2 linked regions of the Astyanax mexicanus genome follow. The protein of the gene in region 1 purifies or fractionates together with the protein of each later gene. This does not show direct contact. Links are inferred from orthologs where the notes say so. Each region holds a gene or a part of one and is shown in the gene's direction. Other genes may lie near its edges.

The links.
Region 2: the proteins of akap12b (region 1) and hspa12a purify together in Homo sapiens (affinity purification with mass spectrometry; 3 studies listed by BioGRID and IntAct, with this or other methods). This does not show direct contact. The link is inferred for Astyanax mexicanus from reciprocal best matches to the Homo sapiens genes AKAP12 and HSPA12A.

Annotation. Positions count from the first base shown.
Region 1 is NC_064408.1:79,034,654-79,042,132, forward strand, and holds the start of akap12b (A-kinase anchor protein 12b), read left to right. Parts: upstream 1-4,456; 5' UTR 4,457-4,583; coding exon 4,584-4,643; intron 4,644-7,479. UniProt on the Homo sapiens protein: Anchoring protein that mediates the subcellular compartmentation of protein kinase A (PKA) and protein kinase C (PKC).
Region 2 is NC_064421.1:30,075,897-30,084,096, forward strand, and holds the start of hspa12a (heat shock 70 kDa protein 12A), read left to right. Parts: upstream 1-5,080; 5' UTR 5,081-5,277; coding exon 5,278-5,356; intron 5,357-5,968; exon of another isoform or gene 5,969-6,029; intron 6,030-8,200. UniProt on the Homo sapiens protein: Adapter protein for SORL1, but not SORT1. Delays SORL1 internalization and affects SORL1 subcellular localization.

The DNA of each region.
Region 1 (7,479 bases):
GTTTTTTTTTTTTAGCTCCACTGACCATAAAGGAGCACTTTGTAGTTCTATGATTATAGACTGTAGTTCTTCTGTTGCTCTGTATACTTTATTATCTTCCTTTCACTCTGTTCTTCAATGGTCAGGACCCTACAGGACCACCACAGAGCAGGTAATATTTGGGTCATTTTCAGCACTGCAGTGACACTGACATGGTGGCAGTGTGTTAGTTAGTGTGTGTTGTGCCTATATGTGTGGATCAGACACAGCAGTGCTGCTGGAGTTTTTAAACACCTCAGTGTCAGTGCTAACCCTAGAATAGTCCACCAACCAGAAATATCAACACAACAGTGTCCGGTGGACAGCATCTTGTTGGCCGCATCATGTGACCACTGATGAAGGACTAAAGGAGTTTCTGTCTCTGACTTTACATCTATAAGGTGGAACTAGCTAGGTACGAGTGTCTAATAGAGTGAACAGTCAATGAATACAGTGTTTAAAAACTCCAGCAGCACTGCTGTGTCTGATTTGTTCATCCCAGCCCAACACACACTTAAGCCCTTTCCGGATGGGATTAGTTTCTCAAGGGTCCTCTGTGATTTTATTCCCGTCCAGAACGACCATGTATTTGTTTTTTTTTCCAGGTATCCTCTGAGAAAATTAAGTGTGTCCTCTGAGTTGCCTACGGTGAACTTTTTGGTCCTCCGGTAACTTTAGTCCCTTCCAAATTCACATCTCTGAGTTTTTTCTCTGAGATTCACGTAAACACAACAGCGAGTGGAAATGGAGGAGCTACTGAATGTGATGTCACGTGACTGAGAAAGCCTAAAAACTCATTGGTCCTCCTGTTTTTTTAATTGCAGTCTGGATGCAAGAGTTTTATCACTGAGTAGAAGTGTGAAATATTTCTCACAGACGTCCCCCTGAGAAAATAATCCCGTCCGGAAAGGACTTAACACACCTCCAACATGCCAGTGTCACTGCAGTGCTGAGAATGATGGACCACCTAAATAATCAGGTAGAAAGGAGGATATTAAGGTATACAGATAAACAGCTCTACAGTCTGTAGTTATAGAAGAGTTTAGAAATAAGGAAGTGGTCATTATATTTGACTAAACTGTGTATATCTATCTATCTATCTATCTATCTATCTATCTATCTATCTATCTATCTATCTATCTATCTATCTATCTATCTATCTATCTATCTATCTATCTATCTATCTGGGTCAGTGTAAAATATGTTTACTCTGTAGCAGAGCTGCAGAGGTCTGGCCTGTGTGAAGTTAGTTGTTAAAGTGCGGCTCTGTGATTAGTGTGAGGAATCCAGAGTAAATGACAGTGAGGGAGGCCAGAGGCTCAGCGATCGCTGCCACTCTCACCCACAGAGCCGCTGTGCTGGGCGGTCTGCCCCTGCCTGTCTTAATGTGGTATTTCCTCAGCTCCTCCTCAGAGTATCCTGCTCTGCTGCTCCAAGAACAATGTAAACTAAATACCCTTCTGATTGTAAAATCATAGCGAAGCATATCACATGAAGATTTAGACTGTTTCTGTGATCGTCAGTATAGAATTTCAAATATGCAAACACATCCTGTTTAATGATAACACTGGCAGTCAAAACGAATTGCTCAGATGAGCATACTGTCACACACTGACGTTTAGCAGCTGTTTTGAATGTGTTTGGAGGATGTAGTATCCTTCATTCTATGGTGGAGAATCGCAAACAAACTTGATCTGCCAAAATAAGACAATGCATAATGCCACACACTGCACATGAAGTTCTGGAGTGGGCTGATGAGTGAGGAAGTCTAGATGATGTAATGAACATCCAGTCTTCAGTCACCATATGTAAACAGCACTGGGGACTCGTGGGACTGTGTTGAGAAATGTGTGGAGATACCAGGATATTATAGGAGATAATTGTGCACAAACTGTTCTTAGTTAAAAAAATCAGATCTGAGCAATTATGACTTACAATATGTATGATTCTTCCATTTTCAAAGTTCTTATAGCTTAGCCATCTTTGTGGAGAGCAGCAATTCTGTTTCTCCCATCCTCAGAGAGTTCTTTGTCATGAGCTGTCATGCTGAATATCAAGAGCCCAGTATTAAAAAATTGTACCAAAAGCACCAAATTTAACATTCCTGTGCAAGTGCCCTACGCTAATGTGCCCGCTCAAACCTGTGTTGGCAAGTCTGCAATGTTCTGCATTTCAAACCATTAAGGCAGGGATGTGTGTGTAGTTACAATGCTGGGGATGTGTGTGTCAGGCTACTAAAAGACTATGACGTTAGGGTACGCAGTCACACTTAGGGTACATGTAGGCTATAGCATAGGTTTGATGCAGAAGCATAAATTGGCCTTAAGTCACATGACATCAGGGAGGAATACAACACAAGTAAGCACAATTGGTTTACTGTGAGCTTGTGTAGTATTGCCAGCTATTATTAGAGATTAGTGGTTGTGTGTTGAATTATTTTCAAAAAACAGTAAATCTACTGCTATACAAGTTACACACTGACCACTATATTCAAGTTTTATTTCTATAGTGTTGTTTCATGAAAAGTAAAAAGTAATAATAAAATATTTGCTGAAATGTGAGAGGTGTGTACTCACTTTTGTAAGTTACTGCATCTTCTCCCACAGTTCTTGAGATGTTAACAACGTTCAGATTTATCCTCACACTAAAGAATGGGGCCTAAAGTTGGGTGTTACAAGTGCACACATTGAAACATCTGAGCATCCAACTAATACCTTTGAGCAGCCATATGGCAGACACAGCAACCACTTAACAACACCCTAGTATCCACTGAGATACATTGTAGCAACCATTTAGCCACAACATAGCAACTACTAAGCAACGACTTTGCAAAAACAGAGCAACTTCATGGAATACCGTAGAGACCACCCGCAGCCATTTAAACACATCATAGCAGCCTACAACCAATCTACAAAACAGTCTTGAAAAGTGTAGGGGTGTGTTGAAGCAGGTAAACAAGTGAGAAAAAAGTAATCTGGGCTATCGTCCTGCCTTTTCAGGCACTTTGCTAGTTATATTATAATTTGATTACAATAACAGTAGTAATAAATAAAATTGTATTCTAAAAATGTTATATGTTATAAAAATGCCTTATGTGTTCAGTTAAGTAATATGGTGTGATTTTTTTTGTGATTTTGTCTAAAATGTCTAAATTAAGACATTTTATTTTATCTCCTTTTATTTACATTCATTTACATTTTAGACAGCATCCCACTTTTTTTGGAGTCTGAAGTTAACATCCAACACCCGGTTTGGTAAAATTGGTTTTGGTAAATTAGGTAAGCTAACCCCTTACAATATACAGGATATTTTCGAACTCTTAAAACTCTCTCTCTTGCACACATTCCCCTTTTTAACTGGAATTTTTACCATTATAAACTCTGTAATTGCTGAAAAAAAAGGTTTTTAATAATGCACTTAGGTGCAAACAGTATACTATGATATTATTAAATACACATGAAGAAAAATGAAAATGTTACAGTAACTAAAAATAAAATGAATTATAGAACATAAAGCAACTATAAAATAAATAAATAGTACTAGAAGTAAATAAACAAACAAATAAATAAATAAAAACTGAAACGTATGGAATCTAAATGCTTTTAATAATGTGCTCATTTGCATAAAAATAATGTTTACTTCACTATATACAAATAAAGACAAAGTAAGATGATACAATAGCTAAAAATCTAATAAATAGTAGAAAAAAACAAGCAATAAATAAATAATGTAAATGTAAAGTCTCACAATGTTTATACTCTAAATCTTATAGTGTATAATTAACTGTACGTTCTACTGATTGTATATTCTCTCTCTCTCTCTCATTCCAACCCATTCATTTCCCTTCTTTATCTGAAATATTTACTATTATAAACTCTGTAATTGCTGAGATAAATGTTTCTAATAATGCACTTAGGTGCAAAACAGTATACTATGATATTATTAAATACACATGAAGAAAAACGAAAATGTTACAATAACTAAAAATAAAATGAGAACATAAAGCAACTATAAAATAAATAAATAGTACTAGAAGTAATAAATAAATAAATAAATAAATAAATGAATAACGTATGGAATCTAAATGCTTTTAACAATGTGCTCATGTGCATAAAAATAATGTTTAGTACACTTTATACAAATAAAGAAAAAGTAAGATGATACAATAGCTAAAAATCAATTGAATAATAGAAATAGAAAAAAATAGAAAATAACCAAACAATAAATAAATAAATAAATAAACAAACTCATGTTTATACTGTATATCTTATAGTGTATAATTAACTGTAAGTTGTATTGATTGTATATCCTCTCTCTCTCTCTGTGTTGTTGGTGGTGCTGCTGGTGGTGGGTGCAGGTTGCTCTCGGTGCAGCAGGGCGGGTCTGCAGGAGGAGGAGGAGGAGGAGGGGGAGGAGGGTTTCTAAAAGTCCTCTCAGCCATTTCATCTCTCCAGAAGGCGGTCGACCCTGAGCTCGGTGCTGCTGGAATCGTGCTGGACTCTGCTTCTCTCTCTCTCACTCTCTGTTTATCGCTGCCGGTAGTTTTGCCCTGGTTTCGAGTCGCGATGGGAGCGAGCACATCCGCGCAGAGCCCCGGGGAGGAGGTGGAGGACGCCGAGGAGAAGGTACCGCACTGTGCATCCACACACACACACCTGACCCCCTCACACTCACCCCCACATCCAGCTGTGACGCACGCACTCACACGCAGATGCGCACACCACATGCTCCCCCATGGTGAACTCAATCTGTGAGACAACTAGTAAAGAAGTCGAATGTCTGAATGTATGTTTACATGTGCAGAAGTATCATCTACTGCTGACACAGGTGTTCAGCCTACACACCTGTAATATAACCTCTATAGAATAGCACTGACCAGTAGAATGGGACACTCTGCAGCAGGTGCACCTGAGCCTATAGATCAACATGCCCAGGGTGGGCTGGTGAGGTATAGATCCCCCACCCTAGAATTGAGCTGTGGAGCAGTAGAAATGTGTTACTTTTGGAATTATCTGGGATAACTGAAATTATCTAAAATAATTGGAATGACCTGGAATAGTTGGAATAGTCAGAATAATTGGAATGTTCTGGAATAGTTGGAATTATCTGGAATAGTTGGAATGAACTGGAATAGTTGGAATAGTCTGGAATAGTTGGAATTATCTGGAATAGTTGGAATGATCTGGAATAGTTGGAATAGTCTGGAATAGTTGGAATTATCTGGAATAGTTGGAATGAACTGGAATAGTTGGAATAGTCTGGAATAGTTGGAATTATCTGGAATAGTTGGAATGATCTGGAATAGTTGGAATGATCTGGAATAGTTGGAATGATCTGGAATAGTTGAAATAGTCTGAAATAGTTGAAATTATCTGGAATAGTTGGAATAGTCTGGAATTGTTGGAATGATCTGGAATAATAACAATGGTCTGGAATAGTTGGAATGGTCTGAAATAACTGGAATGGTCTGGAATAATTTTAATGATCTGAAATATTTGGAATGGTTTGGAATAATTGGAATGATCTGGAATAGTTGGAATGGCCTGGAATAGTCAGAATAGCATGGAATAGTTGGAATGATTTGAAATAATTAGGATGATCTGGAATAATTGGGATGATCTGGAATAATTGTGATGGTCTGGGCTAATAAACTTGTGGCTGAATGCAATCAAATACTTACAGCAATTTTCTAGCATGTAGTTTTAAGTCATTGATGCACAGTACACATCAAACTGTTTTGAATTCATATGAATAAATATTAATGAACAAGTGTCCACAAACCTTTGGACACATAGTGCATCAGTGACACCGAAATGGATTGAATATGCAGGTGTCCTGGTCAGCCCTGGTTAATCTGCAGTGTGTTCTGGATATCCTGACTCTAGATTACAGCAGTGTGACCCAGTCATGCTCCTGAACTTCAGCCCTGCTTAATGTTTTTTTTTCCTGCTCTCCTGCACACCTGACACGGCTTTCAGCGTATTAATAAGCCCTTCATGAGCTCATAGTGGTGTGTCGGACAAGGAAAATACTTCAGTATGTGAAGCAGGGGGGCTGTTTACGGCTGCTGGATGAGCACTGGCATCATATGTATTGGAGTTGTCTGTGCTGGTGTTGTTTATCCTGCTGTGCTTCGGCTAGTGCTGCCTGACTGCAGTAATAAAGAGAGGAAGCTGTCCCGTAGCAGAGTCTGCATTTAGAGGTCACTGCTGTACTGTAAAGCTGCGCTGCATCTGAGTGTGTTCTGATGTTGCATAAGGAGGGGGCAATATGATGATGTTGTATTGTTACTGGCATAAATTCTGTCAGAGTGTGCTTCCCTGACTTGCTTTGTAAGATAATGTTAGTTGTGCAGTGTGTGCAAATGTATTATGTATTAGAGTGTCCCTTTCAAATGAACAAAACTGGGCATAAATGTGTGACAATGTCATCAAATACCTTAATGTTATTGTCTTTTTGCCCTGCTGCCCACTTTAAAGGTTATGCACTACACTGTAGTGTATATATAATAGAAATTAAGATGCATGAGAACTGTGATTAAAAATCTTAAACATTTATAAATATGAACTTGTTTTCTTTGTATAATGTGAGGTCTGAAAGCTCTGCATCTTTTATCTTATTTCATTAATTTCTTATTTTTTGCAAATAAATGCTCTAAATGACAATATTTTTATTTGCAATTTGGGAGAAATGCTGTCCGTAGTTTATAGATTAAAACAATGTTCATTTAACTCAAACATAGAACTGTAAATAGCAAAATCAGAGAAACTGATTCAGAAACTGAAGTGGTCTCTTAATTCTATTCAGAGTTGTATGTTAATTCATGCCAAAGACAAAACAGTTAACAAATGCCAACATACAAACATTAAAAATTGCAGAAATTGAGGCTATATCCATGTATATTTTGAATACAGAGAACACACTATGCTAAAATGAACTAGAAACGATGTTAGCTTACCTGAATAAAACTCCAAAGGGTTGAGCAGCTCACATTTACATGTAGTTGCTAAGGCTGATGCTAGGTGGACACTAGGATTAAACTGTTTAGCAAGAGGTTGCTCTAAAAGGCTAGCTTAGCATAGTATGTTAGCTAGATAAAATTAGCTCACCATAACTTGTCAGCTAATAAAGGCTAGCTTGTCATAACATGTTAGTTATAAAGATTAACTTGCTGTAATGTAGCTCTTTAAACAGCTAGCTCACCATAACATGTTAGTTAGTTAATAAAATCTAGCTCGCCCTAACATGTTAGTTATACATGTTACCTTGCTGTAATGTAGCTATTAGCTACAAACAGCTAGTTTACCATAACATGTTAGTTGGCTAATAAAGACTAGCTCACCCTAACATGTTACTTATAAAGGATAACTTGCCAAAATGTGACTATTAGCTATAAACAGCTATCTCACCATAACGTTAGTTATAAAAGTTACCTTGCCGTAATGTAACTATTAGCTACAA
Region 2 (8,200 bases), on another chromosome or scaffold:
CTAGAGAAACAAGCTAACTATCTGTGCCCCCTACTTCTACCAGCCTCTAGGGTGCAAAACACAAACTAAACTGGCTCTAGGAGCTTCTTCTTTATAGACCACTGAGGTTGTGTATCATTCTGTAGTCCTCGAACGGCTTCCGTGTCACTGGATCCTCTGAATAACGAGATCGTTTAAGAGTCGTAATGAGAAAAATGCTAACTTTTAAGCTAATGCTACAGCAGAGTTACTCCCAGAACAGCTGCAGAGATCAGCAGGGAACTCTTTTCGGCGCAACACCAGCGAACTCCGGCCCTAACTGTACAGCGTATTATACACAGCTGAGCCAACTAATGAACTAACTGCGCTTACTAAAGAGAGCTGAGAGTGTTACAGCATAAAATTACTAAAACAGGTCTGTGATCCTCCAAAACCAGCTGTACCATGTTTTAACATTTACCGTCTTTATTATGGTGTGAAAAAATGTGGTGTTTCCGGTTCATGGTCGCCTCAGTGTGATTAGTGATTATTTGGGTCAGGTGTTGTAATTAGTATAAACTAATGACTGTAATTAAATACTAAACCTGCGGGAAAGCGCTGCTGAACTGAGAGCCATTTTCTCTTATTATCTGCCTTTTAAAGCTCAAACACAGACTACACTGCTCAACATCACTGAAAGAGTTTTCACCTGTTTAATTGCTTCATCTGTGAAGAAGAAGAAGAAGAAGAAGAAGAAGAAGAAGAAGAATCCAAAACGCGATCTGACCAGCTGTTGTAGTGTGACGTGAGTTAAGCATTAACTTAAAGTTAGCATTTTTCTAAAAACTACCCTTAAATCTCAAAATTCAGAGGATCCAATGATATTAAGGAGGTAAATGTACACAGAATAAAACGTACAGGGTTCTGAACATATTTATTTACCACAGAATGTGAGAGAGGCCAGTTTTTGAAAAGCCCATTCAAACTCCCCATTCACTTGAACAGCTTGGGAACCGAAAATATGAGCATAAACAACAATGGCGCCGACTACTATTAAGCATTGGCCCCTTCTCTGGGCCAGTCCAACTAAACAAGACCAATTAACTCAATTCCCAATTATAGTCAACTTGTAGGCTTTATCCTAAATAATATAGAAACACTGACACACAATATATATATATATATATATATATATATATATATATATATATATATATATATATATATATATATATATATATATATATTGAAGCATAAACAAAAGGTTTACCTAACAATATCATTGCCGAATCAAACCAGACACCACTATAATACCCCCCTGCCCTAGGTTCAAGAGTGGTATGGCCCACTCCAAAGGCGGGAAACTTCCCTATACAAGGGCAGTGTCACCTCTGTTTGAGAGACCATCTTGCTACTACATGTAAGTCTTACAGTGCTCAGCTTCTAAGTAAGACTAAATAAATGCTAACTTTTGAGCTTTCCCAGAGTAGTGTTTTAATTTACAGAGCAGGTATTATTATATTAGTAAGCTAAAATAGAGCATCTGTCTGCTAAGGGGAAAAATAGATTTTAAGAACATTCAACAAACTAATTCATGTATTGCAGGAACAGGAAGAGCAATTAACAGATGTTTCTGCTGGCATGTCTGTACTCAGAATTTCCTTTTTTTTTTTTTTTACACACCTCAGATCCATGACACTGTTTTGTTTAATACCGTTGACTTCAGACAAATCATTGATTGAGTAGGTGTCTTAATACTTCTCTACATATAGTATGTGAATGATTACCTTAGCACAGAAAGGTGACAAAATAACTAACAATAAAGCTGACCTCAGCTTACAAGTGCACACTCCACTCTGATTGGACCTGTGTTGAAACATTTTTTTTTTTGTTGCTACTGATCTGCTCTTTAGAGGGCCTTACAGGTCAGAGGTTTGAAGTGACCACTAGATGGGGTAAGCAGCTGCTTTATGGTGGCCTGGCTGCACCGGACAGGACCAACCATTAGTAACATCACCGCCATTATCTTTCTCCTGGCAGAACCAGGTCCTAGGTGCAGTACCGGGTTATCTCTGTTAGCTGTTATTAGTGTATTTACAGTGCTGTGGAAAAGTATTTTACAGTTTTTTTTCTTTGCTTTTTTTTGTCAACACATTTTAATATCAAAAGAATGTATTGAGTGAATATATAAAAAGGTGTTTTTAAATGATAATTTGTTAAGGGAAAAAAATCTATGCAAACCTACATGTCCCTGTGTGAAAAAGTGTTTGCCCCCTAAATCTAATAACTTGGTTGTGCCAACCTTAGCAGCAACAACTGCAATCAAGCCTTGGTGATAACTAGCAATGAGTCTCGCATCTCTGTGGAGGAATTTTATCCCACTCTTCTTTATGAAACAGTTTTAATCCAGACACATTGGAACGTTTCCTGGCATGAACTGTTTAAAATCATCCACAGCATCTCAATCAGACTTTGACTAGGCCATTCAGAGGTAGACTTGCTGGTTCAGATCATTGTTCTGCTGCAGAACCCAAGTACACCTGAGCTTAAGGTCACAAACAGTTGGGCTGTGTATTCATCTACAGGATTTTCTTGTAGAGAGCAGAACTCATGATTCCATCAATTACAGCCAGTTGTCGTGGTCCTGAAGCAGCAAAGCAGCCCATACACTACCACCAACATGTTTTATGTTCAGTATGATGTTCTTTTTCAGAAATTATTTGTTAGTTTTACACCAGATGTAACGGGACACAAACCTTCCAAATAGTTCCACTTTTGTCTCGTTAGCCCACAAATATTTTCCCTAAGTATTAGTGATCAATACAAATAATGTCGGTAGGCCATCCACACTTCACCGGTGTTCCAAGGTTTCTCCATTTGTAAAAAAAAAAATAGCTCTTTCTTTGTAACCTTTTCCAGACTGATGATCAATGACTTTGTTTTCTCATCTGTTTTTAAATTTCATCTGTCTTTAAATAATGTATTGCTTTGAGATCTTTTATTCTGCTTCATGTTGTCAGGTAGGTTCTATTTACAATATTTCTTGATTTTACAGGTTTGGCAGTTAAAAGGCCTGATTGTGGCTACTGAAACTGAACTCAACTTTTGGGTGTGTCCCAATTCACTAGCTGGGGCATCAACAGGGTATTGGACAGCGACCCTGACGTGTCGGATTCGATCCCGTGTGTGGAGCGGTGTGTTTAACATTTTTTCCCCCCTCATTTCTCTTGGGTTTATCTGCTTGGAATTCAACTGTTCTGCAATTGGGTTCAACAACCCTCTGAGTTGGAGAGCTACTAGTCTATAGCGCTCCATCCCATTTCAGCACATAATGGCACGGAAAATAACTTAATTGCGGACCCCTGCTCCAAGATATATGTTATTGCTGCATCACAGAAGTTTACCGCCCCCCCCATACCATGACAGAATCAGATTTTTGGATGGGTTGCTAATGAAGCCTTAGCTCCGAGCCTCCGAGCCCAGAGAAGTTGATGCTGCTTCTGGACAGGATTAACATGAGGCTTCTGTTTTGAACAGTAGAGTTTTAGGTGGAGTTTGTGAATTTAGATCAAACACTAAAATTCCTTTAGATTCCTTAAGTAATTTGATAATGTTATGCATCGCAGAGGGGAGAAAATGCAGTCTTTTTTGGGGAAAATCGTTTTTTAAACATTTGTTACAAACTGGAGATTCATTGGGCATCTTTAAAGACTAGATACTGTTTTGCTACCAAATCATGCCTGTTTAAAATGATAATTTAGCTTTTTACCTAAATTGGATTTGTAAATGAAAGATAAAACATTAATTATTTTGGATTAATTCGGTCAACAATTAATTAAAGTCAAAGAGTTTATTTTTCATACTGTTCCAGTCTTATCTGATGTAGGGTTGTACATTTTAAGACCCAAATCTTCTCAGAACTCTAACACTCTAATACAGTATGTTGGGTATCTGGCAGTGTATTCATAACTATTATGTGTAATAAGGTTCTTTAAGGAGCTTTTAGAACTTTCACCACTCTTCACTATTCTGAATGGGTCAGTTTGCTGATTAGGTACAGTTGCTTTTAATGTTCAGCTCAGTTCTGTTGTAAAGGAACAATTTCAGATTCCAGGAGATTTCAGGGTGAAATTCATCACTAGAATCAAGAGCAGCTAAAGCTGTGGGGTTCCGGTCGTGGACCCGCCAAAGCTGGAGTTATTGTGTTAAAACAACACAACTCTGAACCCCACCTTTCCTTTCAGGATGTGTGCGTGAGTGTGTGTGTGTAAGGGTGCTGTGTCAAGCCTATAGATGATTTTGATATGCTTGTACTGCTTATAAATTTGCTTTTTAGGGTGACACATGCGATTAATTTGGAAACATTATTTTATTATTCAATTATTTTATTTTTAAGACAAATTAATTAAGTTTGGCCCCAAAGTCCAGGTGCTAGGTGTCGTATTAATGATTTTATTTTGAGTTTTTTTTTTAGCAATGGAAACACGGCATTGCTACTGTGGAGTTCAGAAGATTATTTTTTTATTGTTCAGATATGGATTAAAGTAACTCTCTCTTACTCAGACAACATGTATATTAACATTGATATGGCAACATAGTTTCAACGTTGTACGTTTAACATTTACTACACCATAGCTCACTAAAAGTAGAAAATCCTATGGTTAACAGAGTGTTAACAATAAACTTACATCACTGTAGTAAAGCTGAGTATAAAGAAAGTTACCCACCACTACCAATCTGGTTAAACAGCTGGAAACACAACAGTAAAACAAATAGAACATGAACATACCCCAAGGTATGGTGAAGAATTGGTGCCAAATAAAAAAGCAATAACTGCAAATGCAATAAAAACACTTTTTTTTATCCCTCCATCCAACCGTTTTTTTTATTGTATGCTGATAAAATGTAAAATGCTAATTCAAAGGCAGAAGGTTGAGGACATTAAGTTGATTTTTCTGACACATTTTTAGCTATTAATAAAAATAAATATGTTTTAGCGTTTAGTTCCTTTTTTGACTTAGTATCGTTAAGAATTAATCTAAGAATCAAAACATTTTCTCACGGATCGAATGAGTATCGATTCGCCAAGCCCTTCATCTCCACTGTACACAGACCCTGCGAGGCACAGCGAGTCATTAGGTCAGTGGAAGCAGCCGGAGGGTCGAGCAGGGGGCTGGAGGGGGAGCTAAGCAGACGGAAAATCGCCCACAGTGGACTTCCTTTCTCCAAGGTGTCAGAAAAAAAGAGAGTCGAGGGGACAAACTTGAGTCCTGAACGGGGAAAGAGGGAGGAGAAAGTGGATGAAGCGCTTGGCGTTGGATGTCTAATGATCTGAAAACAGACAGGAGTTACACGATGGCTGACAAAGACTCGATTGTGATAGAAGACGATATAACAGGTGAGAAAAGTGCTACACTTTTACACTATTGAGAAGTTTTGCATGGGTTTAAGTTGCGTAAAAAGCGGTGGTTTGGTCATTAGAAAGGGATGCATGCATGAAAACACCGCCCACTAGGTTCAGTTACTTCATACTGTGGAGCAAAACGCGTTAAACGGTGGAGTTACAGCTGAAAGTTCGAATAATCCCGTTCCACCTTAAATAGCGCTGCAGTTGCGTTCTGGCGCTCAAGGCGCCATAACGCAACTGCAGCGCTATTTAAGGTGGAACGGGAGAATTCGAAAATACTGCGGGCAAAAAGTGATAAAACTAATGAAAAGTCACTTTTTAATGCATTATTGTTGTTTTAAGACTTTTTTCAAAGGCATTCTTAATTAAATGAAAACCTAACACCCCCACATCCTGCCAAAGAATGTTTTTTTCTACATCCAAACTTTTGCAAAAGAGCTATATCTGCTATTTACAATCAGTGCACCCTTTTAAGTGAGCTCCCATTTACAACATAACAACATGGGTTGCGAGAATTGCTGCCATTTGGAGCGCAGCCTGGAGTCACGTGGGGCGTCGAGGCAATGCAGGCAATGCAGCAAAAGTCTGCGTGCCTCATCATCGTCACCCTCCTCCTCTTCCTCACCATCATCACCACCTCAGGTGAAGAGCGCTGAGAAGAGAGGTAGGAGCCTATATCATGCATGCGCACAAATGCAGAGAAATGCCCTTTTAACTTGAATGCATCTAGTGCACGAGCAGCTGAGCCGTTGTTTACATATATAGGCTTTTATTGCACGCCCACCCCAAAAAAGCACGAGAACCAGCAGATTTGCAGGTAGTTCAGTGCACTGCAGTGTTGCACTGAAGTGAACGACTGCGTAAATGCGCGCGTGCTTGCGTGCGTGTGTGTGGTGAGAGCCTCTTTTGGCGTTTTCCAGCAGGGCTGGTTTTATTGTAAAGCTGTATGGTGAATATTATGGGTTGATAAACTGCTTTGCAGAATTGTCCTTTAGGAAAAGGACACTCCGCTGATGTAATGCGGGTTGTGGTGTAGGAGTCGATTCTTTAAAGTGTACCGATTCGTTTCGTTGCGTCCGCTTTATAGGGACTGCGGGGTGCTATTAACCTGGCTAAATTCAGAATAATGCTCTTTATACATCATATTTCAAACAACAAGGTAAATATTCGTGCTGCGGTGTTCCACGTTGTGTGTCTTTGAAAGATGAGTCGGATTCTATTAATGAACAGAAGTGATCCAAATCTGATTCACATGCTGAGTCAATGTTATTAGATTGCAGTTTTAAAAAAAATGAATCTTTGAATCAAACGTTTGATTCTAATTTGAAACGAGTTATGAATCAAATGAGAAATGTCTCATGAAATTCAGACTGATTCATAGAGCCAAGTATTATAATTGTTTATACTAGACATGAGAATAAAGTTTAATAGAGTAATTAACGTAGCTTAAAGAAGCTCTGGCACAAAAAATAATGATTTGATTTAAATTTTCATTAAATTGACAAAATTGATTTGGCCAGCCCTGCACCTAAAGAAATGAATCATTAATCTCAGACTAATTCACTTAAGCAATTGTCGTTGCATAGGCTAGAAATGCCAATAAAGTTGACCCGGGGAAACCTTAAATCTCTCTAAAATAATTTGATTCAATAAATTGATTCAGTCTGTACTGCACCTAGATAAGTGATGCTATTAACATTAGACTGATTCACTCAGTCAGTTGTGGTAGTATAGGCTTCAAATATCAATAAAGTTGCATTGACAATCCTTGAAGCTTTTGAATCACTTGATTTATTAAATTAATTGTGGGCCAGCCATGTGCCCACAATGACGATCCATGACCATTAGTTTGATATACTGAGTTTAACATCATTGGGTATGCTAAAAATTTAAAGATAGTTTGCTTGGGAAATAAATCACACATTTGATTTACAATGATAAATTGATTCAGCCAGCCCTGCACCAAGAAAAATGGGTTATTAACATCAGACTGATTCACTTGTGTCGCTCACAGTTTTAGTATATGCTAGGATTGAGAATAAAGTTGACTTGGTAATCCTTTTAAATAGTTTAAAAGAAGCATTTGAATCAGTAAATAGATTCAGCCAACCCTGCACAACTAGTCAAGTATCATCATTGTATAATTTAGAAATGAGCATAAATGTGACTTGCATCATTTTGTAACCCTGCGTCAAAAATAAATGAGAATCATTAAAATAGATGGAAAGTTTAATATAGATTGATTGATTAATTGATTCAGTCTGAATCTAATAGTAAGTAAATAATGACAGTACAGAGGGTACGGTGGCCGAGAAAGCCCAACGCAGTGCAAATTGAAAAGCGCCGCAAAAGCACAAAACACATCCATCAAAATTACAACACAGGCGCCGCAACTAGAAAAACGCGCTGCAAATAGAAAAACGCGCTGCAAATAGAAAAACGCGCTGCAAATAGAAAAACGCGCTGCAAATAGAACCACAACACAACGGAAGTGAGTCACAACACAACGGAATTTTCCCGGGGGACCTTAAAAGATGCTGTACCAGCTAAGCTGCGTCTTCAGTAACGTCTCGGACTTCACTATGTGTACAAAGGACAATAAGTGGCAAACAAGGCGTTTTGTGAAGCAGAACTTTTAATAATATGCACACAACCGTGGTAATCACAGGTAATAAACATAACTTACTTTTCAGAAGCTTGTTTGCCACTTATTGTCCTTTGTATACAGCTGTTACAGCATCTTTTAAGGTCCCCCGGGAAAATTCTGTTGTGTTGTGACTCACTTCCGTTGTGTTGTGGTTCTATTTGCAGCGCGTTTTTCTTTTAGCAGCACGT